Linked DNA regions of Callithrix jacchus. The protein of the gene in region 3 purifies or fractionates together with the protein of the main gene of each other region. This does not show direct contact. Links are inferred from orthologs where the notes say so. Each region holds a gene or a part of one and is shown on either strand. Other genes may lie near its edges.

What was found.
Region 1: the proteins of RPP14 (region 3) and POP4 purify together in Homo sapiens (affinity purification with mass spectrometry; 3 studies listed by BioGRID and IntAct, counting the BioPlex papers as one, with this or other methods). This does not show direct contact. The link is inferred for Callithrix jacchus from reciprocal best matches to the Homo sapiens genes RPP14 and POP4.
Region 2: the proteins of RPP14 (region 3) and RPP40 purify together in Homo sapiens (co-immunoprecipitation; 3 studies listed by BioGRID and IntAct, with this or other methods). This does not show direct contact. The link is inferred for Callithrix jacchus from reciprocal best matches to the Homo sapiens genes RPP14 and RPP40.
Region 4: the proteins of RPP14 (region 3) and POP5 purify together in Homo sapiens (co-immunoprecipitation; 3 studies listed by BioGRID and IntAct, with this or other methods). This does not show direct contact. The link is inferred for Callithrix jacchus from reciprocal best matches to the Homo sapiens genes RPP14 and POP5.

Annotation. Positions count from the first base shown.
Region 1 is NC_133523.1:26,834,693-26,841,557, reverse strand, and holds the end of POP4 (ribonuclease P protein subunit p29), read right to left. Parts: intron 6,186-6,865; coding exon 6,108-6,185; intron 5,931-6,107; coding exon 5,869-5,930; intron 4,273-5,868; coding exon 4,171-4,272; intron 2,887-4,170; coding exon 2,750-2,886; 3' UTR 2,457-2,749; downstream 1-2,456. UniProt on the Homo sapiens protein: Component of ribonuclease P, a ribonucleoprotein complex that generates mature tRNA molecules by cleaving their 5'-ends.
Region 2 is NC_133505.1:25,473,755-25,481,408, reverse strand, and holds the start of RPP40 (ribonuclease P protein subunit p40), read right to left. Parts: upstream 4,865-7,654; 5' UTR 4,831-4,864; coding exon 4,708-4,830; intron 4,550-4,707; exon of another isoform or gene 4,336-4,549; intron 3,376-4,335; coding exon 3,231-3,375; intron 1,963-3,230; coding exon 1,894-1,962; intron 336-1,893; coding exon 240-335; intron 1-239. UniProt on the Homo sapiens protein: Component of ribonuclease P, a ribonucleoprotein complex that generates mature tRNA molecules by cleaving their 5'-ends. Also a component of the MRP ribonuclease complex, which cleaves pre-rRNA sequences.
Region 3 is NC_133516.1:40,106,174-40,113,038, forward strand, and holds part of RPP14 (ribonuclease P protein subunit p14), read left to right. Parts: intron 1-3,715; coding exon 3,716-3,792; intron 3,793-4,114; coding exon 4,115-4,193; intron 4,194-4,632; exon of another isoform or gene 4,633-4,634; coding exon 4,635-4,691; 3' UTR 4,692-4,808; coding exon of another isoform or gene 4,809-5,315; 3' UTR 5,316-6,865. Other genes in the region: HTD2 (hydroxyacyl-thioester dehydratase type 2, mitochondrial), read left to right, coding at 4,809-5,315. UniProt on the Homo sapiens protein: Component of ribonuclease P, a ribonucleoprotein complex that generates mature tRNA molecules by cleaving their 5'-ends.
Region 4 is NC_133510.1:123,709,915-123,717,491, forward strand, and holds POP5 (ribonuclease P/MRP protein subunit POP5), read right to left. Parts: upstream 4,496-7,577; 5' UTR 4,460-4,495; coding exon 4,440-4,459; intron 4,355-4,439; coding exon 4,212-4,354; intron 3,000-4,211; coding exon 2,850-2,999; intron 2,719-2,849; coding exon of another isoform or gene 2,676-2,718; coding exon 2,592-2,675; intron 2,492-2,591; coding exon 2,397-2,491; 3' UTR 2,115-2,396; downstream 1-2,114. UniProt on the Homo sapiens protein: Component of ribonuclease P, a protein complex that generates mature tRNA molecules by cleaving their 5'-ends. Also a component of the MRP ribonuclease complex, which cleaves pre-rRNA sequences.

The DNA.
Region 1 (6,865 bases), on a different chromosome or scaffold from region 3:
CAGGAGGTCATAAGAAAAGGGGCCTGATCCAATAGGAGTGGCATCCTTCTACAAGGATCATACCCCAGGGATCACTCTCCTTGCACACAGGGAGGGAAGGCCGTGTGAGGACAAGGTGGTGGCCATCTGCAAGCCAGGGGGAGAGGCCTCCCCAGAAACTAACCTGCCAGCACCTTGATCTTTGGCTTCCAGCCTCCAGAGCTGTGAGAAAAGGCTGCACTCCAGTGTGTGGCATCTTGTTATGGAGATTAGTGCTGACACATTGGCCACAGCCCATGCTGCCCTTTCTCCTCCAAGGGCCTCGTCCTTTCCTCCCAAGGCTCTGGCCTATCCTCTGCAGCCTGTGTGGCAGCTGGGCGCTGGGGAGCTGTAAAGGGCCCCTAGGCCCCACTCTTTCAACAATGGTTGCTAGGCTGATGTCTTCAGTCCTGCAGCGTCTGAATCCTGTCTCGAGTTGCTAAGCACTCTCTCTCTCCTCTTTGGCACCTTTTCTGATGCATGGAGGCTTACATGAGGCTAATGTGGCTCTATCTCCTGTGGGACCACATGGCCAAGGCTTCAGCTCTGCTGGGGTCCTGCTCCTTGGACAGTGGATATGGGAGATCAGGCCACAAAGCCCATTGCCCTCCATGACAAGCTGTGCCACAGGCTGCGGAGACATGGCAGCCTGGCCCCTGCCCCTGGGCCTCAGGTCATGCCCTCTGTAGCTGTTCCTCATCAGGAACCATGTCCTGCCCAACTGAGCCCTCCCCTTTCCCTCCTCTACCTGGGAGATGACACGGCCCCTGGGTATGCCATGGGGGCGACAGCATATCCTAGAAACAGGCAGGCATAGCAGCAACTTCATGGCCGGCGAGCACCCTCCCCACATGTCCTTGGGGAAGAGGAAGTCTACAAATTTAACAGCCACTCACACAGAAACTTGAGTCTGCGCCAAATGAAAAACAGATTTCACATGGCAAGTGGGACCAACAACTTTTCTGGAAAGCGACTGTGTATTTACACAACAGTGGATGCCTTTTACATTGCTGGGGGGTGGGTAAGAGCGGGATGGCTAGGAAGCTACAGCACCTAGGCTGTTACAGACGCAGCACTTTCAGATGGCTGGGGGAATAGATGTCACTTCCCACTCAAGACCGGGATTGCTCGTGGGAAAGCAGGTAATAAAGGCAGCACATCCTGCGCTTTAGAACTGCATCCATCTCATCCTGCAGCCACCCTGTAGTTGAAAGCAGTGCTGGAGCCTGACTCTTGGGTCCAAATCTCAGTTCTACCCTGAGTCAGCGAGGCCTTGGGCAAGGAGTCCCTTGAAGTCTGTCTTCCTGTGGCAGAATGAGGATGGCCACATCACCAGGCGTTCGTTGGGCTGGGTCCGAGGTGGCAGGGGCTTGAGTTCCATGTCCCTGGCCTGTGCGTGTTTGCATCACTGGCAGCGGTGACTGCGTGCTGCCTGGGGGAGAGCACTCGAGCCACCTCAGAACTGGTGCACAGATGGAAGCAGGACTGAGGCACCGAGTTGGTCCCTGTGAGACTCTGGGTGCACTGTGAGCGTTGGGGAGGGGCAGGGGCACAGAGCTAGGCCTTTCTGCTCTCCCGGAACACAGCAGTGAGCGTTCCCACTTCCCTTCTCCACTGTGGTGTTTTTCTCTGGTGTGGTCTCGGTGGCAGGTACCAGAAATGTAAAGCCTCAGCACCGCCGCTTCTCCTGCAGAGAACAGACTGTAGCCTGCCTTTCACCATGAGGGCTCCTGGCCTTGCCCTGTTGATCGGCGGACACTTATTCTTCAAAGGGCAGGGGCAGTCGTCCTTCGGAGCCATGTTTCTGACCCCTCTGCTAGGCTGGTCCCCCGCCCCACGCTCACTGCAGCCCTGGGCCTGCATTTCCTCTGGCCCTGCCCGGAAGGGCCTGACCCACTGGCCTTACGGACACATCGCCACAGAGGGCCAGGTTCAGACTGAAAAGCCAAGTCTTTCAGCAGCAAAATGGAACTAAGATATCAAAGGACATCAATGCTGCCGGCTTGGCTTTCGCAGGTCTGACCTCAGGAGGCAATGCTGGGTGACCGCCTTTCAGTCCTCCACAGCTCACGCTGGCAGCTCAGGAGGGGTCCGCTTTAGCTGTGCTGTTGAGGCATAGCCGCACGTGGTGCTATGCTCCTGGCAGCCACCCCAGCTGTGATTCCTGAAGTGAATAAGCCCTAAGTTCCTTAGCAACCCACCCTTCAATCCTCTTCAACCTTCCTGAAATAGCAAAGTAACCCTTAGGTAGGTCAAAGAGTTCCACCCAAAGGCGCGCCTCTGTAGACACCTGCCATGCAATGGATCTTTGGGGACCCCCGCTTCCGTTTCAACCTGGCTGGACTGCAGCAATAGCTCCTTCATTTGATGCCTGTTTATGTCCACATGTATAATGTATGATCACAGACACAACAGATTCATCATAGAGCACTCAGAAAACAGGAAAAAGCATCTTTAAATGAAGTCAACCAGTGTTAACCCTGCTGTGTTTCCCATCAGTCTGTTCCTCTCTGTGGGAGCCATACACAATTAAGATCCCCTAGGAGAAATTCCTGTCCCCTGACTTCTTCACTCAGCACGCCTCCCATATTGCTCAACATCCTCAACCCGGAGCTTCCCTGGTGGAGGTGGTCCATGACAGGAACTGGCTTAGCCATCTCTTCACTGAAAGGTGGGCACTGGAGTTTCAGTTTTCGGCTGTCATCAACAACCGCCTTGGATGGCAAAGCGCTCACAGGTCAATCGTTCCCTTGGCTTTGAACTTCTTTGCAGACCGTTCACTTGACCGAAGCTGGAATTTGCTCCCATAAATGTAGGAAATAAAGCCATCGATTTCCACAGTGAACACAGAGTTTAACTTGGGGATAACTGAAAAAAATAAAAACAAAATAAGCAGGAGAAAAAAGATGAGGAAAAAACCCTGGCAGCAAAGTTTTATTATTCATTCATTTATTTATTTACTAATATTTTACTTTTAGGTAGAATATTATTCATAATACATTGAATGAAAAAAATAAGCTAATAGGAAACGGGAAACCCACGAGGGGAGCGGCACTGGGGTTACATGTGGTTATTCTGCTGTAAGGTCAATTTAGTCACATGCTAAATATAACTCAGCACCTAATCTTCAGGGTCAAAAGCTATACAACAAATTCCCAGAACCAGAGAGACCCAGAACACCTGCCAGAACTGGTTTCCCCACATAACTTTCAGATGGGCTCCTGGCCTTATGCTCTGTGAGGAAACTGTTACAACACTTTCTGAGGTCTACGATGTGAGGTAGAAGAATAGGTAGGAAAATAAGGGGAGCAACAAGAAAAACCAAACTCAAAAAGTAAAGGAACAAGGCCGGGTGCAGTGGCTCATGCCTGTAATCTCAGCATTTTAGGAGGCTGAAACAGGCGGATCACTTAAGGTCAGGAGTTTGAGACCAGCTTGTCCAGCATGGTGAACCCGTCTCTACTAAAAATACAAAAATTAGCTGGCTGTGGTGATGCATGCCTGTAATCCCCGCTACTCAGGAGGCTGAGGCAGGAGAATCCCTTGAATCCTGGAGGCGGAGGCTGCGGTGAGTTGAGATTGCACCACTGCACTCCAGCCTGGGTAAAAGAGAGAGACTGTTTAAAAAAAAAAAAAAAAATTAAAGGAACACAACCCTCTAACTGTGGTTTGATATCTCTGGATTTGTGGGCAAGGCAGGGTGTAGGAATCCTGGAAGACCCGAAGTGTCTGCTGGAGCAATGCTGGCCACTGATGGAACACAATGTCATCGATGGAACACAAAGTCATCGCCAAGGACACAGCTTGGAACTGCAGGGACAGGCGCTGTTCCTGTTTCTACCCTGCTGCCTCTGTGGCTACATCTCTGTGGGAGCAGCGGCCTTAGGGCAGGTGGAGGCCCCTTCCTGGGACCCAAACAGACCCAGGTCCCTGAGGCACAGCCAAGCAGTTCCTCCTTCCCCTTAGCCATTTCTGGCTGGGGCTGCTGGCTGCACTGACACACATCTCCTGGGGGAGCCACAGGCGCAGGGGATGGTCTCTGCAGGCTTTAATGCAGGGTCAGTAAGTATCTGTAATCTTGGAGCCTCGAGGAAAGGGCTAACGCAGGAGCTGGAAGCCCCAGCCCACAGGATTGGGGAAACACCTACATACCTTTCAGGCAATCTTCTTTGGTGATAATTTTGAAAATGTGTTTTGTTTCTTGTAGAAGGATTCCTGTAATACCCACGTAAGAGGGGCATTTGGATTTTGTCACTGCAAAGGAAAAGGGCAGTTCCAGGCTCAGGCCTCTGTGGTGCTGGGGGAACCATAGACAAGCAGCACGCTTCAGGGGTCGGGGGTACTGGTCCCACCCTCTTAGCTAGCAGATGAAGGAAGAGAGCACCCAGTGCATGGGGGCTCAACTGTGGGCACTGCCTGAGCCTATGAGAACCCAGGCTTCCGCTGGGGCTTTGCAGCCTCTGGACTGTTCCTATGAGGTGTGTGGCTGCAGGGGTCTCGGGCAGGATTCTGGAGTCAAAGGTGACACATATGCCTTTGACTCCAGAACAATGAGCACCATCAAGGCCCATGGGCTGGCTGCTCTGATGAACGTGAGTCCTGCTGCAGAGCTGCCCAGCAGCCAGCACTGAGAGACAAGCCACCATCACAAGTAGCAGCCCCTCCCTTGTATTGACCTGAGACTCGGTATAGCCGACAGACAGTCACTGAGCAGCTGCAGTGTGCCTGTTCTGTCCTTGGGAGATGCCAGGGACACAGCCGGAAAGAGGCAGTCCCGCTCTCATGGAGCCCAGGTTCTAGCAAGGCAGGGTGACGAGCGGTGAACCACACCATTCTACTTTCTGACAGCAGTGAGTAGGGACAGGGCAATGAGTGCGGAGGGCCATGTTTTGCCAAAGTAGACCCTCAGGGGAGCAGCACTGGAGCAGGGCTGAACAATGAGAAGCTGGTCTTTGCACACACAGAACTCCTGGGCAGAGGGAAAGAGCAGAGGCAAAGCTCTGGGGCAGGGCAGGAGGAAGGTGGGGTGGGAAGCCGCTGCCCCAGGGATCTGGAGGCAGGTTTACTCCCATATGATGGGACGCTGCAGGAAGACCTGAAGCAGGGAAGAAACGCACTCTGATCTCTATATAACCGGCACTCTGCTGCCTGGGGCCGGGAGGACCTGTGTCTGAGGTAATCCAGGGAGATGACAGTGGCTGAGTTTAGGTAGTAGGATGTTCCACAGGATCAGAGGAGGGGATCAGGGAAGAAGAAACATAGACACTGTTTAGGTTTTTGGCCTGAACAACCAGGGTAAATAACTGAGTAATTAAAACTGAGATGGAAAAGAGCCGGAGAGGTTGCTGTGAGGGGAATCGGGAGGAGCTTTGGCTCTGTAGAGTCTGAGATGCCCCCTGAACATCCAGGTGGCTGTGTGAAGTGGGAAGCTGGATACCTGAGCCTGGAATTCAGGGGACAGGCCTACGCTGGAGAGGTCACCTTGGGGGCTGTCAGGCGTAGCTGACATTTGAAACCATAGCACTGGATGAAAGGGATTCTATATTCAAGATTCCAGGCCATGGGTGAGTGTCAACAGCCACTGTGCCCTTTACGGTACTAACAGGGGTCCCTGTGTGGAAAAGGTACACAGAGACCACTTAGGGTGTGACCAGCAAGTGGCCAGACTGGCTAAGACAGCCAGTGAGAAGCATCTCCCACCCTGAATGCAGGGATGATGGTTGCAGGGGGCCATTTCAGGGAATCCACACAGTAAGGAGCGTGTCCAACAGGACACAAGCCCTGGGTCTCCACAGAGTGACAGTGTGAACCTCTGGATGGCCACGTGCTACACGCTCTTAGGTAAATTACCTGAAATAATAGCCCCGTGAAGATCTGCCTTTAACAGCTTGGCCTGAATCATCTGTGGCTGACTGCAAGGTAAACAGAAGCCCTTGGTTTACATCATGATAAAAAGTTCCAAAAGATGCAACTAGGTCTTCAGCCTTCTGCAGCCAGGCAATGCCGAGGCTGGCTCCTGAAACTGCATTTACAATGAGCAGAGTCTTGGGATCCACCCCAAAGAGAAAAGTTTCAGGAATGCAACTTACGTGTCTGGCTTAAGCCCGTTGCACAGGTCCCTGATATACTGTTTCCAGAGTTCATGGAGAGGGAGAAAAAGACTGTATCTGCGGCAAAGTCAGAAACAGGGAAAAAGTTAGACCACATGAGCTTGGGATGACGATGTCCAAACAGCACAGAGCTTGGCTTGATGCCAACCACTGTGACCTGGGATCATTAGGAACTACATGCAAATCCTAGGATCAGCAATTGAGCTGATAAGGGAGACCAAGAAGCTTCACTGCTCTAACCTCCGTTTCCTCACTGGTAGAACCACACTAGCCAGGGTGGTGTCCACCTGGACTTCTTTTCATGGGAGAGAAATAAACATGAGGCTCATTGAAGCTACTGTGATTTTGAGGTTTTCTGTTACGTGAGCTTGAACTTAGTAAGCCCTCAATAAGGCAGGGGTTGCTGGTTGTCACGCAGGTTCTTGTGTGAGGCAGCAGGCTGGTCTGGAAGGTGAGCATGCAGGTAGCAGGGAGAAGGGGAGGGGTGCAGGGGCGAGGACCTCAACAGCTTTCCTCTGGGCCATTATCTCCGGTCTTGATGGCTCGTGGGGAATCTGCTTCCATGAAGCCTTAGGTTAGAGAAACAAGGACCACAAGCTCAAACCCAACCGGAGCTCCACCCGGGAGGCAAACCCTGGGAGGCAACATCCCCTCCTCCACCTGATCTCCTGAGCAGGACTGGGGACAGCATGACATACTTTAAGCATCTTCTGGGGTGTGGGAGGCTATTTGGCTGT
Region 2 (7,654 bases), on a different chromosome or scaffold from region 3:
TAATTGCCTAGTCCAAGTCTACAAACTTTACCAAACGAGGCTACAGCTGATAAGAAATGGACTTAAAAGCATCACCATCCTATCCTGTGTGAACCTCGAGTCAGAAGTTTGACAGATATTTTTTAAAAGCCACATTTTTCTGGACAAATAGAGTAGAGGCAATTCAAACATTTAAATTGAAATTGCCTCAGGAAGATTACGGACTTTTTAGAAACGGATCAAGCACACATGATACTTACTAAATTTCATAATTTTTCTGCCAGAAAACTGAGATGGACGACCCTGAAGTCCAGTTTCTTCATAAGTGTCTTTATCCAATGACAAAATTAATGTCCCTATAAATCAAATATTAACTCCCATGAGATATAACAAAGATACGACTTATGTTGTCTGACTAAAAGAAACCAAGGCAAATTGAACAGTTAGATAGCAATGTAACAAACTGCATGCAAGGATCTTACTTACATCACAAGAACACTGTTTATATACATACATGTCTTGTAACGCAGATATTATTTACACATTATACATCCAAGGATATTATTTATAATAGTGAAATCAGAAATAATCCGAATTTCTACTGAAGATGAAATAAAGAAGTCATGGTATACTCATTCTTCGAAATATCTTTTTTTTTTTTTTTAGACAGTCTCACTCTGTCACCCATGTGACAGAGTGAATGCATATAGCATGATCTCAGCTCACTGCAACCTCCACCTCCTGGGTTCAAGCTTTTCTCCTCCCTCAGCCTCCCGAGGAGCTGAGACTACAGGCACCTGTCACCACATCTGGCTAATTTTTGTACTTTTAGTAGAGGCAGAGTTTCACCATGTTGGCCAGGCTGGTCTCGAACTCCTGACCTCAAATGATCCACCCACTTCAGCCTCCCAAAGTGCTGGGATTACAGGTGTGAGCCACCGTGCCCGGCTTGAATATCTTAAGCCATTAAAAACAGGAAGTTGGAACTATATCGACTAATAGGGAATGATGTGTATCATATGAAGCTTGTGTGGGGGGGGAGCACATTAAGACACAATGTAGCATGATACAATTTAGGTTAAAAAAAAGACCTTGGCTGGGTGTGGTGGCACAGGTCTGTAATCTCAGCACCTTGGGAGGCCAAGGTGGGTAGATCATGAGGTCAAGAGATCGAGACCATCCTGGCCAACATGGTGAAACCCTCTCTATACGAAAAATTAGCTGAGCGTGGTGGTACATTAGTAGCTCCTGTGATCCCAGCTACTCAGGAGGCTGAAGCAGGAGAATTGCTTGAACCCGGGGGGTGGAGGCTGCAGTGAGCCAAGATCGCACCACTGCACTCCAGCCTGGTGACAGAGCAAGACTCCATTGCAAAAGGAAAAAAACTTGTATGTGTGTTTATAAACTCAAAGTGTCTGGAAGAATCAACACCAAACTGTTAACAAAGGGTCCTTCTAAGAAGGGGAGTGAATTTGGAGGGAAGAAAATAAAATCACAGACCTTTGCTTTATTCTCTATAGATCTGTGTGATTTGACTATTTGTGTGTGTGTGTGTGTGTGTGAGTGAGAGAGACGGAATTTTGTTCTTGTTGTCCAGGCTGGAGTGCAATGGTGCAATTTTGGCTCACTGCAACCTCTGCTTCCCAGGTTCAAGCGATTCTCCTGCCTCAGCCTCCCTAGTAGCTGGGATTACAGGATTACCACCACGCCCAGCTAACTTTTTGTCTTTTTAGTAGAGATGGGGTTTCATCATGTTGGCCAGGCTGGTCTCGAACTCCTGACCTCAGGTAATCAGCCTGCCTCGGTCTCCTAAACTGCAGGTATTACAGGAATGAACCATCATGACTGGCCAACTATTTTTTTTTCCACAGTATGCATTTTTTTAATAATTAAAGATGAAAAAATAAGTGTTACCATTTGGTAGCAGGGCAACAGTATTATCTTCATCGATATTTGTATTGTATGTTAGTGCACAGCAAGAACCTGTAAAAAAATCCAGAGGAAAAATTTAAAAGAAGAAATTACACCTGCAAGATGTTAGTGGATTGTTTTCACAAGATAACGAGTATTCCAGGTAATTAAAGGTCAGTTTCTACCGCTGCTCCAGCTCACTCAATAAACCCAACACCTGCTAAAGGTAAGCTGAAGCACACAAAGACCAAGCTCCTGCTGGTCCACTCCCCGACCAAGGGCCTATTTGTGTAAGTTTACTATCATCAAGCAGAAAATTGACTCAAAATGGAGCATGACCCTTGGGGATGCGGGGAGAGGGATACAAAGTAGAATTCTAGATAAACATACACATCTTAGAGGCAGAGTTCCAGGTTAAGATTCAAAAGCTACTCAACCTCTCCAAGCCTCAGTTTCCTCACCTGTTAAGTGACGATCATAGGCCTGCTTCAAAAGTTGTTGCAAGGCTTAAATTCGGTAAGATATTTAACAGTGCCCGCTACAGCCAGTGTCCGTGTTATTCACAAAGTGGTATCAAAATAGATGAAAGGAATAACGCTGATGAGACCAGACAAGATGCCCAGCTCATAAGTAGCCCCAGCAATGTCAAAATGAGAGGAGCTACTGGTAACTAGACTTCTTCATATCTTCTCTGGAGAGGACATAGGTGGGGGCCACCACAAGGTCAGCCTGTGGCCACTGTACAGGTTGTCACCTTATGTAGCATGGGTGGAATCCCCAAAGATCCTCTAAAGTAGTTTCAAAAAAACGGCTCCCAGGAAACAACTGAAACAAACCAGTCCAACCCAGCAGATTATGGGCAGAAATGGGGTGAGCAGAGGGGGATTATGGCTACAAAATCTAAGCAGAAGACACAGGACCCCAGCCACTACCTTGGCTCTGTGAGCAGGAGCTGTGGCTGCATCTGGAGACCCACCCCCTGAGACAGCTGCTGTGGGACTGCTGACAGCATAGTGTCTTTGCTGCCACATCAACAGCAGTGCATCAAACACACATTGCAAGTCTTTCTCCCCATTAATCTTCATTTTAAGGGGATGGATACCCTCGTGTTACATCCCCATCCAACACTTGTGGGCAATTGCAATCAGAAACCACCACTAAAGAGGGCATAAGAAAGAACAGGATAAGAATGGTGGAGGGGAGCGCATGTGTGCAGTTGACCACAAAGACTATCCATCCCACAGGCCCTGTTCAAAACTTGAACAGCCCTAGCTTTGTGATGTGGTCTCCCTATACTTCCTCATCTTGCCTTGTTCATAGACATTTCAGGTTTTTCTTACCTTTCTTTATAAAGGTACTGATGAATTCGTGTGTAATTAATTCATGAAGAGGTAAATTCTTCACAAAGTAATAGGGTCCAGTTTGCATGACCAGGTTTTTCAGTTCCTCTGATAGTATCCCACATTCAGGAATGAGAAATGAAACCTATCGGAATGTGTAATACAAACAATGTCTTACTTCTATGAAGATGAACACCCAGGTTTTTAGGAATGAAATAAGATCATGAAAGTTCTTCTTTCTCCACCAGTTTCACTGGAACATATAAATACAGGCAACAAAACTCTTACGCTAACTTATCTATCTCAGTCAAAGAGAATTCTGACTACTCAAGTTTTTAATTTCTGCATTCAAATGTACAGTACAGGAAAGGGATTGAACAGAAAACTTTAAATGGAAAACTCTTGCTTGCATTTTATCTTTTGCAAATTAGCAATGCTGTATATTTTATGTCCTGTTCTTTGCACTATTTTACTTTCAAGGAAATACAGTATAATTGAATATCCCTTGATTTGTTTACCCTGGTGCTACCCTGGAATGAAAGGAACTATCTGTTGGGGAGATAAGGAATTTATGAACATCCAATTACTAAGACTCTATGTGCAAGCAATGGTGCTCCTGTGTGTTTCCACTTTCGAGACAGAAAAATGCAACAGGAGAGTTAAGGTATACATCCCTGACAGCTGTGATGAGATTGCCACCCAAAACAAGTGTTAAAAACAGGACAGGCTTCAAATGTTGCCACATTGTAAATGTCATCACTGTCCCAAGACTCAAACACCAGCCTGTTCTGACAGATCAGGTCATCTCTCAATATCTCTGAGACACTGCTCAGTCAAGCCTGAGTTATTAAGCCGAACGATTTAAAGTGTAAAATGTTTAATCCCCCATTGTAAGGTTGGTTTCTTTAAGTTTTTCGGGTATCAAATTAGTTTCCACAACCAATTTAGAAAAGCAAGTCGCTTCCTGGGCCGGGCCTAGGCAGGATGCTCTGGAAAGATCTACAGGTAAACAGGTGGGAGAGGGATTGAAGTCAGGGAGGGAGGCGGTGGTGGGGAGGAGGCGCGAGACCCGCCCTGATATGGGGAGAAAGCGAGGTGCACGTGCCTGCCCGCAGCTGCACGTCGCAGTCGTCACACCGCTCTAACAACCTAGTCTCGGCCTGGAACCTCCAATGCCTCCCTGGACTCACTCCCTGTTTCGCGCGAAGACACAAGTGAGCAGCCGGAACACTCCTGCCAACAGCTCCCTACAGGACTGGGTACTGCCCCCACGCCCTGCGCATCCTCGGTGTTGTAGTCCTGCAGCCCTTCAAGTCACTGGCCTGGAGAGGTTAAGAAACTACAACTCCCAGCATGCCTGGCAGGGCCCCGCCCCCTTCACGCACTCTCCGCCCCGCGAAGCCTAGCACTCTCCCAAAATCTCTCTCGCACGCCGGGACCAAGCACAGCCGGAAAAGCTGAGGACAATCGGACTCACCCTGTAGTTATAATAGTGCGTCTGAATGATATGCCGGTGGCGCGACTTGTGGTTGCCGAAGTTGGATTTCTCGCAAACCAGTAAGTGCCGCGGAACCTCCCGAAGCCGGCGCAGCGTGGCCATGCTCTCCCAGGTTCCTGGTCCTCCCGGCCTCCGCGGGTAGGGGCATGCCCCGCCCCTTCCCGGCCCCGCCCCGCCCAGCTCCGCCCTTTCCCTCCGGCCGCCTACCTGTTATTGTGCGCCGCTGGTAGCGGTGGAATGGGGCTGTCGGCGCCGAATTTCTAAACAGTTCTTCTACTTCTTAGAAACCCACGCAGCAGGCCGGGCGCGGTGGCTCAAGCCTGTAATCCCAGCACTTTGGGAGGCCGAGGCGGGTGGATCACGAGGTCAAGAGATCGAGACCATCCTGGTCAATTTGGTGAAACCCCGTCTCTACTAAAAATGCAAAAAATTAGCTGGGCATGGTGGCGCGTGCCTGTAATCCCAGCTACTCAGGAGGCTGAGGCAGGAGAATTGCTTGAACCCAGGAGGCGGAGGTTGCGGTGAGCCGAGATCGCGCCATTGCACTCCAGCCTGGGTAACAAGAGCGAAACTCCGTCTCAAAAAAAAAAAAAAAAAAAAAAGAAACCCATGCAGCAGCTCCCTGGTGGATGTCTGAAACTGCAAATTCACTGCCTCAAATGAAAAAATCCATCGCTGGGAACCTGACTCTTGCCTTTTCAACGCCACCTTTCCTCCGTCCCCGCCATCCTTCTGAGCTGCTAAACCCTTTCTATGGGCCCCGCCTTGAAGCGACCCTGGGACCCTGGCCTGGCGCTGGCGCTTACCTCGGTCAGGCCTCTCAGAGGGATCGCTTCCTGCCACCGTTATAAAAGGAAAACATCACATGGAAAGGCCCAGTTCCTTTATTATATGGTCAAGAAATGTAGCTGCACACTTAAGTAACCGCCTAAGCTGCTTTGGGGGGGGTCACACCCAGCTGCTTTTCTGACTCCTTACACTGTTTGGTTCACAGGACTCTGTTACCCATTGGGGACCTCTTGGCCATCCGTAACACAGGCCAGCAGGACTAAAATTTGCATTGATCCTTTCCAAAACTTTAAGGAAGTTTGTATGGGAAGGTAAAGCACAATTTAGCCTTCTTTGAAACTAGTGTTGATTTCCTTTTTAATAGCCCTTCAGACCCACTTTTAATAATGTGTTGCTTCTGGGGGTTATGGTGATAATTCTCCTAAGTCATTTTTCCATTTAGTTTTACTGCCACAGACAAGAGACTGCGGCTCCCAGTATGCCATACGTTACTGATTAAAGGCAAAATCAAGTATGTTACTACATGCTTCTTAAACTAGAGAAGGCACAGCCCCATTTCTGCACGGGCAGGATACAATACAGCAGAATATTGATGATACATCTTCCTGGGGCATCAGTTTTTGTGTGTGAGGTGGAGAAATGGAATTAAGTTGTTTACAAGGTAAATAAGAATTTAAAACTAAGCTGGTCACAGTGGCTCATGCCTGTAATCCCAGAACTTGGGGAGACTGAGATGGGAGAATCACTTGAGCTCAGGATTTCAAGACCAGCCTGGGCAATATAATGAGACACCATCTCAAAAAATAAAAATAAAAGAAAGACAAGGCTGGAAAGTCGTCTGCCATTAAAAACATCAGTAATCTGGCCGGGCTCGGTGGATCATGTCTGTGATCCCAGCACTTTGGGAGGCTGAGGCAGGCGGATCACGAGGTCAAGAGATCGAGATCATCCTGGCCAACATGGTGAAACCCTGTCTCTACTAAAAATACGAAAATTAGCTGGGCTTGGTGGTGTACGCCTATAGTCCCAGCTCAGGAGGCTGAGGCAGGAGAATTGCTTGAACCCGGGAGGCAGCGGTTGGAATGAGCCGAGATAGTGCCGCTGCACTCTACCTGGCAACAAGAGTGAGACTCCATCTCAAACACAAAAAAACAAAAACAAAAAACAGTAATCTGGCCAAGTGCCCATGGCTCATGCCTGTAGTCTCAGCACTTTGGGAGACCAAGGCATGGGGATCACCTGAGGTCAGGAGTTCAAGACCAGCCTGACCAACCTGGAGAAACCCCATCTCTACTAAAAATACAAAAATTAGCCAGACATGGTGGTGCACGCCTGTAATCTCAGCTACTCAGGAAGCTGAGGCAGAAGAGTCGCTTGAACCTGGGAGGCAGAGATTGCAGTGCGCCGGGAGGTAGAGATTGCAGTGAGCCGAGATGTGCCACTGTACTTCCAGGCTGGGAGACAGAGTGAGACTCTGTCTCAAACAAACAAATAAAAAAGTAATCTATGACTGAAATGTCACATTTTTTTCCAAGAAGAAAACCTAATAAGAACCTGTTTCTCATTATTTTATACAGAATTATAAGGCATGGCAAGTTAATCAGAAAAACCTTACCAATTTCCAAGATCACAATATGGCAGTTAGATGTTTTATGAATAACAGCTACGAATAACATGTTAAGATGTGAAAGGCTTAAAGCATTGCTTCTTGGTCACCTCACATTTAATGTGGCTGTCACCAGACAGTGGCTTTGTGTGCGGCAGCGGCGCCCCAAGACTGAAACATCACGCATGTACCTCTCCTTTGTCCGCATTGCAGAGCTCTGCACAGTGACTGACATCCTGATGGTCTACCATTTGTATTTGGAAGCACCATGAAGCTTTTCCAGCAGAGCTCTGCACAGTGACTGACATCCTGATGGTCTACCATTTGTATTTGGAAGCACCATGAAGCTTTTCCAGCCAACCATTTAGTTTAAAATGTTGCCTATTTTGAAGATGCAAAATAAATTTTATCTATATAAATATCAGCTGAAAAATGTATTAGAGATACAAGCTGCACTCTTCTCAGAGTGACCCCACAGAGTCTCTCAGCTCTAAGTCCTCCTGTCTGCCTGCTGATAACCCCTACGTGTGG
Region 3 (6,865 bases):
CCAGTCTTTCTATCCTCATGAGATCTACTTTTTTAGCTCTCACATGAGTGAGAACATGTCTTTCTGTATATGACTTACTTAACAAAATGGCCTCCAGTTCTATTCATATTGCTGCAAATGACAGGATTTCATTCTTTTTTATGGAATATTATGGAATAATATTCCATTGTAATATATATCACATTTTCTTTATCCATTTATCCATTGATTGGCACTTAAGTTGATTCTGTATTTTGGCTATTGTGAATAGTACCGCAGTAAATATGAGAGTGCACATGTCTTTTTGATATTAATTTCCTTTCATTTGGATGTATGCTCAATAGTAGACTTGCAGGATTAAATGGTAATCTATTTTTAGTTCTGTTTTCTTTTTTGTGTTCAAGATGAAGTCTTGCTGTGATGCCCAGGCTGGAGTACAGTGGCATAGTCATGGTTCACTGAAGCCTCAGCCACCCAAGCTCAAGTGATTCTCCCACTTCAGCATCCCAAATAGCTGGGACCACAGGCATGTGCCACCACGCCCAGCCAATTTTTTTACTTGTAGAGATGAGGTCTGAGTATGTTTCCCAGGCTCCTAGCCTCAAGCAGACCTCCTACCTTGTCCTCCCAAAGTGTTGGGATTACAGACGTGAGCCATCAAACGACCTATTTTTAGTTTTTTGGGAAACCTCCATACTTTTCTCTATAGTGGTTGTACATTTACATTCCAACCAGTAGTATATGAGGGTTTCCCTAGATATTATTTTAAAACTGTGTTTGAAGTTGCAGAAGTAGACTTTGAGAAGTGATGAATTTTTATAGGTTTATTCTATTATGCCTTCTATTTGACAAGGAACATGTTAGACAGATGTTTGTTCTAGCACAGTGCTACTCAAAGTGTGGCCTAGACTGGCAACCTGCAAACTCTCTGACCATCTTGAAGAGATGAGGAATTTGCAGCAGAACCAGTGCACTATCACTTTTAATGAGAAAGTCTCTTTATGGGCCGGGCATTGTGGCACATGCCTGTAATCTCAGTTCTTTGGGAGGCTGAGGTAGGCAAATCACTTAAGGTCAGGAGTTTTAGACCAGCCTGGCCAACATAGTGAAACTCCCTTCTCTACTAAAAACATAAAAATTAGCTGGGTGTGGTGGTGCACACCTGTAGTTCCAGCTATTTGGAAGGCTGAGGCATGAGAATTGCTTGAACTCTGAAGGTGGAGGTTGCAGTGAGCTGAGATGGCATCACTGCATTCCAGCCTGGGCATCAGAGCAAGACTCCATCTCAAAAAAAAAACAAAAAGTTAAAAAAAAAAGACTTCTTATGAAAAAAAGATGAACTGAACTAAACACTGTGATTAATTATACTATTGTTTTACATTCTGATTCAACTCCCTATTTTGTCGTAGGCCCACACTTTAAGCAGATTTGTCTTAGCATTCCTTTGAGAACAGAAGTAGGGTTTTGGAAGTTGAGAGAAGACAGAAGATGCTCAGGAAATTGTTTTCTGATACCTCTGTACATCACATCAAATGTTTGTCCGTCAAATCAAAATATGCTAAGTACCTCATCAAAATTTAAAACTTACATTTTGCAAAAGACTCTTAGGAGGATGAAAATGACAGGCACAGTTGCTCATAGCTATAATCCCACCACTTTGAGAGCAGGTGGATCACTTGAGCCCAGGAGTTCCAGACCAGCCTGGATATCTGGTGAAACCTCATCTGTACAAAAAATTTAAAAAATTGAGCTGGGCATGGTGGTGCACCTATAGTCCCAGCTAGTCAGGAGGCTGGGGTGGGACGATTGCTTGAGCCCAGAAGCTCAAGGTTGCAGTGAGCCGTGATCACGACACTGTGGGGGAAAAAAAGGATGAAAAGATGAATTACAGACTGGGGGAAAATAATTGTAAACCACATATCCAACAAAGAACTAGTGTCTAGAATATATAAATGACTTTTGGCCTGGTGCAGTGGCTCAGGCCTGTAATCCCAACACTTTGGGAGGCTGAGGCAGGAAGATTGTTTGAGGCCAGGAGTTTGAGTCTGTGGTGAACTATGATTGCACCACTGCACTGCAGCCTGGATAACAGCAAGACCCTGTCTCAAAAATAATAATAATAATAACAATAGGCGGGGTGTGGTGGCTAATGCCTGTAATCCCAACACTTTGGGAGAACGAAGTGGGTGGATCACCTAAGGTTGGGAGTTTGAGACCGGCCTGGCCAACATGGCAAAACCCTATCTTTTTTTCTCTTTTTTTGGGTGCCAAGTTCATTTCAGTAGCATAGAGCAAAACCCTGTCTCTACTAAAACTATAAAAATTAGCTGAGTATGGTGGCACACGCCTGTAATCCCAGCTACTCAGGAGGCTGAGGCAGGAGAAGTGCATGAACCTGTGAGATGGGGAATGCAGTGAGCCAAGATTGCACCACTGCACTCCAGCCAGGGTGACAGAGTGAGACTTTTTCAAAAAATAATAATAATAAAGACGTATCAAAACTCAATAGTAAGAAACCAAATAATCCAATTAGAAAATGGGCAGAAAAATTAACAGACATTTCCCTAAGAGGATGTATGGTTGGCAAGCACATGGAAAGATGTTTAGCTATTAGGGAACTTCACATTAATGACACAATGTGATACCACTATGTACCAAGCAGAATCACTGAAAAAATAACAACACTAAATGCTAGCAAGAATGCGAAGAAACTGGATCACTCATATGTTATAATGGGTATGTAAAATGGTGCAGCCATTCTGGAACATAGCTTGGCGATATCTTTAGCAGACTAAACATGCATCTGCCATAGAACTCAGCATTAGCACTCCTGGGCGTCTATTCCAGAGGAATAAAAACTTAGGTTCACACAAAGCCTGTACATTGTACATGAATATTCATAGTAGCTTTAATAATAATGAAACTGAAAATACCCCACATATCCTTTAATGGGTGAATAAACTGTGGTGCATTCCTGCTATGGAATATACTCAGCAATGAAAAGGAATGACCTATTGATAGACACAACATGGATGAATTTCCAGAGAATTATGCTGAATGAAAAAAAGCCTGTGTAATGTAACAAAACATTACATACTAGGTGTTTCCATTTATAGAAGACTTGAAATAAAGTAATTCTAGTTTTGCTACTGTACTGTAGTTACACAAGGCATTGACACTGTGGGAGGCTGGATGAAGAGTGCATGGAACTTCCCTGTACATTTCTTTGCAATCTCTTGTGAATCTGTAATTTTTTAAAATACAAAATAAAAAAAAAAAAAAATCCCTGTGTGTACTTGTATGTGAGATAGAAAACTTTGTTCTTGGGATTTATATAGCTGCGAAGAAACAGACATGGCCTCTGCCGCATGGACTGATGGTCTTGGTTCTTGTAGTAGGAAAACATGTTAGGCAATTAGTGACAAGAATGAAGAGAATTATGAAAGAGGAAGTATGGTGTTCCTGTACAAGAAAGAACATAGCAAGCTGACTTTGTCTCATCTTAAAGATCAGTCAAGGAACAATTTAAATGAAGGCTCAAAGGATGAGGGACTGATTATCAGCCATATGAAGAGGTGTAGGCAGAACTTTCTAGGCAGGGGGAGCTATAATCAAATAGGCAATTCAAAGCACCAGCACCATTAAATAAAATACAGCATTTGTGGAGAATAGTCAAAACTTGACAAGCAAGAATAATGGTGCTAACAGCCTGCTAATAGTATTATTCCATATCCAGGTTGATGCCGCCTTGCCTTTGGACATCCTACGCTATGAAGAGAAGACCTTGTCAGCCATCTTGAGAATATGTAGCAGGTATGACAGAGAGTGGGCATTTCTAGTATAACAAGTCAGAGAGACTGATGAGAATTAGAGCAAAAATTCTTTCCTCTGAGAATGAGAAGAATATTGTGAACTCTGAGCAGCTTTTGGGGATTTTAACTGGGATGAATATGAACATTCCATCCACCAGAAACTTGTACCCTAGAGAGAGCAAAACATGCTTTGGTTACAGCTCTAGTTTCCCATTGATGGTTATAGTTGCAAAGCCAGAAGTGAATATTTCAGAAACCTTAGTTGAGGTTCATTTTGTTTTCAGCCTATGATACGCTATGTATTTTCCTGGTCTTTTCTGCAGTGGTCTTGTCAAATTGTGGAGCTCTTTGGCCTTGTTAGGATCCTATAAAGGCAAAAAATGTGCTTTCCGGGTGATTCAGGTAAAGACTGTTCCCTCACATATTCCAAATGAGACTGATGATGGCTCAATCGCTTCTTAATATTCATAGCTCATTTTTGTGCTTGCATGAATGTAATATGGTTAACATGATCTAAGTAGGGGAACATAAAGGGCTTGTTTTCAAAAAATGTGAGACACAGCACTTCAGATTTTAAAGTCTGTGGGAGGTTGTTCTGGGATAAAAGTTGCTACTCTGTGGTTAAGTCTTATTTTTTATTTAACACTTAATGCTTTGGGTGTTATATATTGTATGCTCCTTTTAAGCTATGACTACTTGTTATTGAAGGCTTCCTCTTGGGACGCTCTTTAAAATGCTCCTGCATTCACTTTGTTTATCCTGTAAAACTGGACATGTTTCCACATTGCCCTGTGCTTCAGTGCAGTTTCTTCCAATGCCTTAACCTTTTTCTTTCTTTTGTAGGTTTCTCCATTTCTCCTGGCATTATCTGGTAATAGTAGGGAACTAGTATTGGATTGAAGGAATAGTCTTCTATTTTGGAAACATTCCTCCACTCTCAGATTTATTTTTTGGTGCCTGCATGTTTGAAGACTGAAGCAGGCTAAAAGCTCTTGGTGAAATTTGAGGGTGCTGAAGATGTTCCCACTAATTTCCAGCCATCACCTTTGGTGGGGTGGGCTTCGGAGGAGAGTCTGCCTGAACCTCCCGGTGCTGGCCCTGCAGCACTTTCAGCATATGCACATCAGAGTTGGAGACCGTGCTGAACTTAGGAGGGCCTTCACACAGACGGATGTGGCTACCTTCTCAGAGTTAACAGGGGATGCCAATCCTTTGCATCTAAATGAAGACTTTGCAAAACACACCAAGTTTGGAAATACAATTGTACATGGAGTTTTGATCAATGGACTTATCTCAGCTCTCCTGGGAACTAAAATGCCAGGGCCAGGCTGTGTATTTCTTTCCCAAGAAATTAGCTTTCCAGCCCCTTTATATATTGGAGAAGTTGTTTTAGCTTCTGCAGAAGTGAAAAAGCTAAAACGGTTCATTGCTATTATTGCAGTGTCGTGTTCAGTAGTAGAAAGTAAAAAGACTGTCATGGAAGGCTGGGTTAAAGTTATGGTTCCAGAAGCTCCTAAATCCTGAAATACGTGTTTAAAGATGCAACCTCAAACACCAATGCTGTTATTAAAGAGCCTTTGGGGAAATGGATTGCTGCTCTTCACCAAAGAATGGTTGGTAGGCCCAGAAGCCCATCCTAATTAGGGTAAGGGAGCAGATAGCTGTTCAAATGCCCACTTTCCAGTTTGGCCTTATGCAAGAGTGTATGTGAAATTCTCTGCCCTTTTTTTTTTTTTTAATTCAAGAAATAGGCTAGGCATGGTGACTCATAACTGTAATCCTAGCACTTTGGGAGGCTGAGGCAGATGGATCACTTAAGGTCAGCAGTCCAAGACCAGCCTGGCCAACATGGTGAGACCACATCCCAACAAAAAGAAAATGTAAAAATTAGTAGTGCTTGGTGGCTTGGGCCTGTAGTCCCAGCTACTGGGGAGGCTGAGGTGGGAGAATAGCTTGGGCCCAAGAGCTGGAGGTTACAATGAGAAGCTGAGATCACACCTCTGCACTGCAGCCTGGGTGACAGAGCAAGACCCTGTCTCAAAAAAAAAAAAAGTATTGGGAAGGTTATTTATGTAAACACTCTACTTTGAAGTCAGGCATGGTGGTGCATGGTTATAATCCCAGCACTTTGGGAGGCCATGGCAGGCGAATCACTTGAGGTCAGAAGCTCAAGACCAGCTTGGTCAACATGTGAAACCCCATTTCCACTAAAAATACAAAAATTAGCTGGGCATGGTGGCGGGCACCTATAATCCCAGCTACTTGGGAGGCTGAGGCAGGAAAATCGTTTGAACCTGGGAGGTTGCAGTGAGCTGAAATCATACCACTGCACTTCAGCCTGGGTGACAGAGCAAAACTCCATCTCAAAAAGATTCTACTTTTAGGAATTCAGACCTATATAGATTTGCATTTGGATAATAGAACCCTTCCTGTATCTGTGTAGAAGCAGCTTCTCACTGAATTTCAGCTGTGTATCACTTAATTACTGAAGACAAAAATAGAAGTTGGGTCATATTTGAACACCTACCTTTTATCAGTGAATATTCTTAGACCCTGCTTTTCAGTAGTTACTGAGTCTGTCATAATTTGTTATTTACACCAAGGTGGCATCTTGCTTTGCCTTCTGTGAGACTTGCATTTCAGGGCAGGGGCATATGTGCAACCTTGGTCTCAGTTATATAAGCTGCCTGATCTATAAAACACTGGTAACACCTGCCATGTGGGATAGTTGGGGGAGATAATAGATGGAGTTAAGCATAGGGCCCAGCCTGTCAGCAGCAGCTACTATTACTGTTATCCATTTCCCCTGCATTGGAGGTGAGAGGTTTTCCTGAGTTTGATGCTGACTGGCCCACAGTTAAAACCGTCTTTCAGGGTGTCAACCAACCTCTACTAGTGTTCTTAAGTGCAGTTTCTGTTTTAAAAAGTTAAGATTATTCCTTGAAAATGTGGATCTACCTCTCATTATATAACTAATACATGCTTATTTAAAAAAAGAAATATTAAGACCATGGATGCCAAATTCTTAAGACTGGGGGTGGGTTTTTGAAGGGGAAACGTGCCTAACATGTTAG
Region 4 (7,577 bases), on a different chromosome or scaffold from region 3:
AGATCTCTTCCTGCCAAGGTTTTTAGTTTGTTGTGAGTGTAGTCTTTTTGAACCATGTGTAATTAATTTTTTTCAACCCAAAATAAGATTGAGTCCCTTTGACCTGCATTAGGCTGTCCAGCCCAGAATGGCACAGCACTGCTCTGCCGTAGCATCGTGTCAGGGCTTCCTGGGCTCAGCATCTCTCTGTCTTTTAAAAACAGTTGGATCCTTACTATTTAGTTCTCCTTGTTAAAGCAGAGGGGTGGGAATAAAATGGATTTAGGACACCCAGTTTGAATTGCAGTTTATTTTTCTTCTGACACATGGCCAGGTTGTGGTGCCAGCTTAATGGGGTAGGTGTCCTTGGCACTTGCATGTGTGAAAGGAGGGTTTTGCCGCCTCTTGAGCATGGCTTGCATTGGCAAGGAAAGCTGTAACTCATGAAGGAAGCCCTGAGACCTGCTACCCCTAAGATGGAGCTTGTTTTCAGTGACAGTGGCTTGAGTCCTAGGAACAGGAGTCTGTACAGCTGGAAAAGAGCAGGGCCGTCTCAAGCCGTAGCATTGCTGTCTCCCTCTGATCTAGAGCAGTTTTCTTATGCCTTGATTTGAGCTAATTTTGATGTGAACTCTCTTGCTGCTTAATAAAGTGACCTCTAGGTGTATTAGACTGCGAAGGCAAATGGTTGCAATAAATCACCTGCACAAGCAATGTGAGCTTTTTGTTAAGTTAATCACAGGTAAACTAGATGAGTTATTTCTTGAATAGGTTAATGTGATAGCTACCAGGATATCGTGGGCTGTCTCTTCTGGTGTCAGGTTTAAATGGTTCTAGAGCTGGGCTTAGCTTTAATCTGCTATTTTGAAAGAAATCATTTCAGTAAATTTCCTGGGTGGATCAGGGTGTTCTGGCCTCAAGATGAGGCGGGTGGCTGGGCGTGGTAACTCACATCTGTAATCCCAGCATTTTGGGAGGCTGAGGTGGACGGATCACGAGGTCAGGAGATTGAGACCATCCTGGCCAACGTGGTGAAACCCGATCTCTACAAAAAAATACAAAAATTAGCTGGGCATGGTGGCAGGTGCCTGTAATCCCAGCTACTCAGGAGGCTGAGGCAGAAGAACAGCTTGAATCAGGGAGTTGGAGGTTGCAGTAAGCAGAGATTGTGCCACTGCACTCCAGCCTGGCAACAGTGAGACTGGCTCAAAAAACAAAAAAAAAGAGGGAGGCATGTTGAAGCCAGTCACCAGTATTTCTGTTAAATGTGTATAAGTACTTTCAGTGTAATCCATTGTATTATGGAGAAAACAGATCCTAGAAATGTTCGTAGGTAGCAGACCAAACCTGGATCACAATCTCTCACCGTTCCTGCTTCCTAGTGAGTGTGGCAGTCTCACTTGTCTTCGGTGTAAGGCAATAAAGAAAAGTGGAATTACAAAAACTACCTTAAGTTCTTTAAGTATATGGCCATGCAATAATGATGTCAGGTGAGGCCAGCTCTCCCACCCCAACTGCAAAAGTTGCATATTTTAAGTACTGGTAAGGAATCTGGTACCTAAGAGCCTGTGGTTCTGGGCTGAGACTGGCTATAGATCTCTGCCAGTTTAGTTGCTGTGTCTCAACTAAAATTTCTATTTCAAATGACTTGCCTTGCTTAGGGCTCATCTTGGGGGCTGGGGGTACAAAGCCTCAAATAGAAGGCTAAGTATTAAAAATCTAGGCCAGGTGCAGTAGCTCACACTGTCAATCCCAGCACTTTGGGAGGCCAAGGCAGGCCGATCACTTGAGGACAGGCGTTCCAACAGCAGCTGCCCAATATGGCAAAACCCCATGTCTACTAAAAATACAAAAATTAGGCAGGTGTGGTGGTACATGTCTGTAATCCCAGCTACTTGGGAGGCTGAGGTGGGAGAACTGCTTGAACCCAGGAGGCGGAGGTTGCAGTGAGCCAAGATTGCACCACTGCACTACATCCTGGGCGATAGAGCAAGACTGTTTAAAAAAAAAAAAAAATTTAACTAGTACCACATAGGGAGTCAGTCTTCCCACCAAGGCTAGGGATAGAGAGGGAATGGAGACTTGGCCAAGCATGGACTCCATAAGCTCTTTTTGTAACATAAGTATGCTAGTTACCAAGGAAACCAGATACATTTATTAAACCTACTCTTAGCCAAGCAATTAGATACAAAGATGTCTATACAGAGTTCACAACCTACAGCACTTAACCAGGGAATGCTAGGTAAAGCCAACTTCAGTTTAACTGCGTACTCCATTTCAAGTGGGTAACGTGTCCTCTGGTTGCAGTTATCCAGTTAGGAAAATGTAGAAGATGCTGTTGCTACCCAGAATGTTCTGTTCAACAAGTGGGCTTGAAGCTTGAGCACAGTGTAGCCTGCTGTATGGTGAGCAGAGGTTCACTCCATTGCTTCGGCAGCCTCCTCACTTGACTCTTCCTCCTCCTCTAGTAAGCAGCTTCTTGTCACAGACTTCTGGATAGCTTCCCGCTCTCCTGGAGAAGGCAGATAACAGATGAAAGATGACTTTGGGAGTGATTTTTTTTGGCTCAAGGTCTGTCACTGCTCAGTGGGCCCTGGACTAGTGTTGCTTACCTTCATTAGTGCAGTTCTGCAACAAGATCAACAGCTGTCTTCTGTTGTACTGAATGAGGAACTTCTGACATGTTCTTATTGTACCTGGCATGAGTTATTGTGGTCAGCAGCTTGTGAAAGGTCTCGACTTTATAACGAGGTAGGGGAAGAGTGTCTTGTTAGCGGGACAGCAAGAAGACCCACCCAACAGTCTAGACTCAACTCTGAACGTGTCACCTATTGAAAATCAGTAGCCATGTGGTAACATTCCACTCCTACCTCCCACATGTAACGTGTTGAAAAAGCATGGGTAACGATGTCCTTTGTTTTCCAAGTACGTGATGAAGGGAAGAGCTGACCACACAAGCTGATAGAATTCTTTTCTGCATCGAAGTAGCACTATTCCAGTATAGGCATTGAGGTATCGAACTAGAACAAAAAAAAAAATCGTTTTGGAAAACTTTTGCCAGGTATGGTGGCTCATGTCATGCCTATAATCCCAGCACTTTGGGAGGCTAAGGAAGGAGGATCACTTAAAGTCAGGAGTTCGGGACCAGCCAGGCCAACATGATGAAGCCCTGTCTCTATTAAATACAAAAATTAGCCAGACATGGTGGGGTGCACGCCTGTAATTCCCTGCTTGGGAGGCTGAGGTACGAGAATTGCTTGAACTGGGGAGGTGGAGGCAGCGCTGAGCTGTGATCTCACCGCTGCACTCCAGCCTGGGTGAAACGAGACTGAATCCAAAAAAAAAAAAAAAAGGAAAACTTTGGAGTTGCAGGAGCGTATTAAAAACCTTGGAGTAACAGAGCCTACTATGTGCTCAATGTATGTTGCAGGCAAGTGGCACGTAGGCTATATCAGCAGTAAAAAACAGGAGAAAAGCCAAAACACCCACTGTGTTGCATACCACTCAGAACTGGTGAATGAATTTAGAATTTAAAATGCTTTCTAATTCACTAACTAGTTAATTCAATAAATAGGAGCAGGTAGGAGGCGATCCATTTTAATTTAGGAAAAAAACCTACAAAACTCTTGCCTGAAAAACAAGCTGTTTTGCTGCAATTGGGCTCTAATTCTTGTAGCAGTCAGCTTAGTCTAACCTGATTTAGGAGAGTTAAGCCTATCTTCAAGGTAAAAGAGGGAACTAATATAAGTGGTGTGGAAGGGACCCTCTTTGTCGCAGCTCATCCTATATTTACATATATAAACAATCATGTGTTCTGCACTCTGCCAACTATTAAAGGGCTTTCCCAGGGTTTTGACAATTTTTTTCCCCATGTGATTTTTAATGTAATCAGTCACACAGCTCTTACTAGGAACGATTCACTGCTTCCCTCATTTAATTCTCTATCCTATCAAATTAAGTCACAACGAATTACAGATGTCAAACAGGTAAAAAGAGGCATTTAGATCGAAGTCTACTGCCTTCGGACCCCTCCTGTTAGCTCTCTGCTAATTTCGGACTTGTCTGGATCAAGTCTAGCTCTGAGTGCCAGGCGCTTAAAGAGATACCTTACAAAAAGCAGTTGCCCGGGGGCTGGGCCACTCCAGCAGTGGCTCGTGCCCCTTCTTTCTTCCTCCGGCGCCTGCCCCTTCCACGTCCCGCCATCCTCCCGGGTTCCCCCAGCGCCCTCGCACCCGCGAAGCCGATGGAGCAGGCGGCTGCGCCGAAAGTCCCGTGCACCCGGGCGATCGTGTCCCGTACGAGACTGCTCAGAACTCGGTCATCGAGGCTCAGGCGGCAGCGGGGGTCGTCCGACACCAATTCGCAGAGCAGATACCTGCGGCCGGCGAGAGGAAGATGGGCGCTAGCGGGGCCGCGAGGTCCCGGCAAGACACTGGATGAGTCTGGAAGGAACTGCTTACCTGTGCTTGAACCGCACCATGGCTGCCTCCGCGCCCTCCGGCTCGATGTGCAAAACGGATGTGGGTTCCGCCCGCTGCCAATGGGAAGCTTGCTTCCTCAGCCTTTCAGCCATTCAGAGAAGGAGGCAGGACATGAGGGCGGAGCTAGAAAGTTGAGAAGCCGAGCTCTGTGTCAGTCTCCCTCAAGGCCCGCCCCATCTCTAAGCGCGCATGCGTCCTGCGGAGGACCCGGACTAATTTGAGGGCTGAACCGGATCCGGGTATTAATCGTGTTGCAACTGTGATGGTTGGTTCTGCTGCACTCCGGTGTTTACAGTGCTGTGTATTGTATTGTAAATATAGGATGCAGCCGCTTTTCTTGGGGCCCTGGAAACCTTGCAGCATAGTTATGTATGCGGGTATATTTTCTCCCCAAGGTGAACGGTGGAGTTTTTGAGGGCAAGACCCTGCACCTCAACAGCCCAGGGATTGACAAACGGGAAATCGGACCCTTATTTTCAGGTTAGAACTCAGTTTAATTCTTCCATACAGCTAAATATGCTATTGCTGTTTGCGCCTTTCAACAATCTTAGGGAGGCGAGTGTGCTGCCTCGTTTTTTGTTTACAGAAACAATACGTGGTCATTATATTTTCCACTTCTTTTTTCTTTCTTTCTTTCTTTTTTTTTTTTTAACAGAAAAGCACCAAGAAGCAAATAAATTATAATCCCAGCACTGAGAGAGAATAACTGTTGTCGTGTCACGTGTTTTCTTCTATCATTTTCTCCCTGGGCCAGTGGTTCTTAAAGTGTAGACTGGGGACCACTGAGATTTCCTAAACTTACTCAGTTTAGGAGTCCCCGAAGTCAGAATTACTTTCATAATAATACTAAGATGTTACTTGCCTTTTTCACTCTCTCAGAGTGAACAGTCAAGTTTTCCAGAGGCTGCTTGACGTGATGACATCATTGCTCTAACAGCTAATGGAATTGTGTATTGTTTTCTAAACATTTCTCAGCTTTAGTAAATACGACCCACAAAAATAAAAGCTCTTTGGGATCCTCAGTAACGCGTGTAAAGGGGTCGTGAGACAGAGAAAATAGTTTGAGAACTATGCCCTCTGTTAAATTATGTTTTTTCTTTTATTTTATTTTCAAGTTTTTTTTTAATGTCTTATTGGGGTATTACATAAAGTATATATTCTTTTTTTTCTCTCTCTCTCTCTTGAGAAGGAGTCCTGCTCTGTCACCCAGGTGGGAGTCCAATGGCGAGATCTCAGCTCACTGCAACCTCCATCTCCTGAGTTCAAGCGATTCTCCAGTCTCAGCCTCCTGAATAGCTGGGATTACAGGTGTGTGTCACCATGCCTGGCTAATATTTTGTATTTTTAGTGGAGACGGAGTTTCACCATGTTGGCCAGGCTGGTCTCGAACTCCTGACCTCATGATCCGCCTGCCTCCACCTCCCAAAGTGCTGGGATTACAGGTGTGAGCCACCAAGCCTGGCCTAAAGTTCATATTCTTAAGTGTACATCTCAATGAATTTTTACATATGGATAGACTTGCGTAACCACCTCCACGATTAAAATAAAGAGCATTTCCAGTATCTCTGAAGGCTCCCCGAGCCCTCTTCCAGTCAAATCCCTTACTGCTGTTAGCCACTATTGGCCACTTCTACCCTGGTAGATTAGTTTTGCCTGTTCTTACACTTTATATAAATATCCTCCAGCATGTTTTCTTTTGTGTCTGGCTTCTTTTGCTAAATATTATTGTAAGATTGATTCCTGTTGTTTGGGTATATTTTCGTGTCAACTGTTCAGCGGCAATACTGTTTTTTCAGCTGTGCAGTATTGCATTGCTTGGACATACCACTGTTCAGTTGGTCAGTATCCCCTTGGTGGAGGTTCACATTACTTCCAGGTTTCCTTGTTATACCCAAAACTTTGATGTATGGCTTTGTAGCTTAGTCTTTGTTTATGCCCATCCGTGATTATTTGTAGAACTGTCGTGGCCTTGCTGGTCCTGTGAGGTCCGTAATGGAGGCAGCTTTCACAATTGATTTTTGCAAGATCTCGAATGAGTTCCGAATTTTCCCATCTCCCACTCTTCTTGGCCACATTAAAGGAGGATTGTTGGGGAATGTAGGGAAGGGAAGAATAGGGGGAGGGGGTCCCGTGGATCTGCCGAGGGACCAGTGACAATGACAGCACTCCCCACCCAAGAGCAACCTTTCTCCAGAAACAGTGTTTGCGGCGTCCTCCTTTGGCCAACAGGGGGTGCCAGAGGCCCGCAGTGCGCGTAGAGAGCAGGCCATCCCCAACCCCTCGGAGCGCTTTACCCCTAACACTTCCCTAGCCTTCATCTCAACTGCAGTGCCTCGCTCATTTTATAAATGCAGTTGCGGCTCAAACCAAAGCCTCGTATCCAGTAAGAAGCAGGATCAGAATTCGAACCCCAAAGCCAGCTGACTCCAGAGACCTTGTTCCTGTCGACACAGCTGGTGCCCTCCTGTGCAGGGTTTCACTCGTCCACTTAGTGTAATAAGATGGAGAGGTAACAGATGGAGGTTTGATTCCCCACTCCGTCACTTACCGGCCCAGCCACGTGTGTCAGGAGGGTTAATTCATGTCTCAGATCTGTTTCCTCATCTGTCCAATGGGATAACAATGGTTCCTCCCTCCTGTGTGGATATGAAATTTAAGCGGGGTCATGTGGACAAGATGCCTGGCACAGCGAGTGCATAGTAAGCCCCCTCACTTTTTGTTTTTTGAGGCTGAGTCTCTGACACCCAGGCAGGAGTGTAATGGCGCGATCTAGGCTCACCGCAACCTGCGCCTCTGGGTTCAAGAGATTCACCTGCCTCAGTCTCTCAAGTAGCTGGGATTACAGGCATGTGCCACCATGCCCGGCTAATTTTTGTATTTTTGGTAGAGACGGAGCTTCACCATGTTGGCCAGGCTGGTCCCGAACTCCTGGACCTCAGGTGATCCACCGCTTTGGTCTCCCAAAGCGCTAGGATTACAAGCGTGAGCCACCGTGCTCGGCCAGTAAACCCACTTCTCTCCCACAGGCACAGCCCCGGGAGGAAGCACTTTGGCGCTGCCCGCGGCCTCCCAGTCTCGGACCAGGCCCAGCCCCTTCTGGGCTCGGAGGGTGCAGGC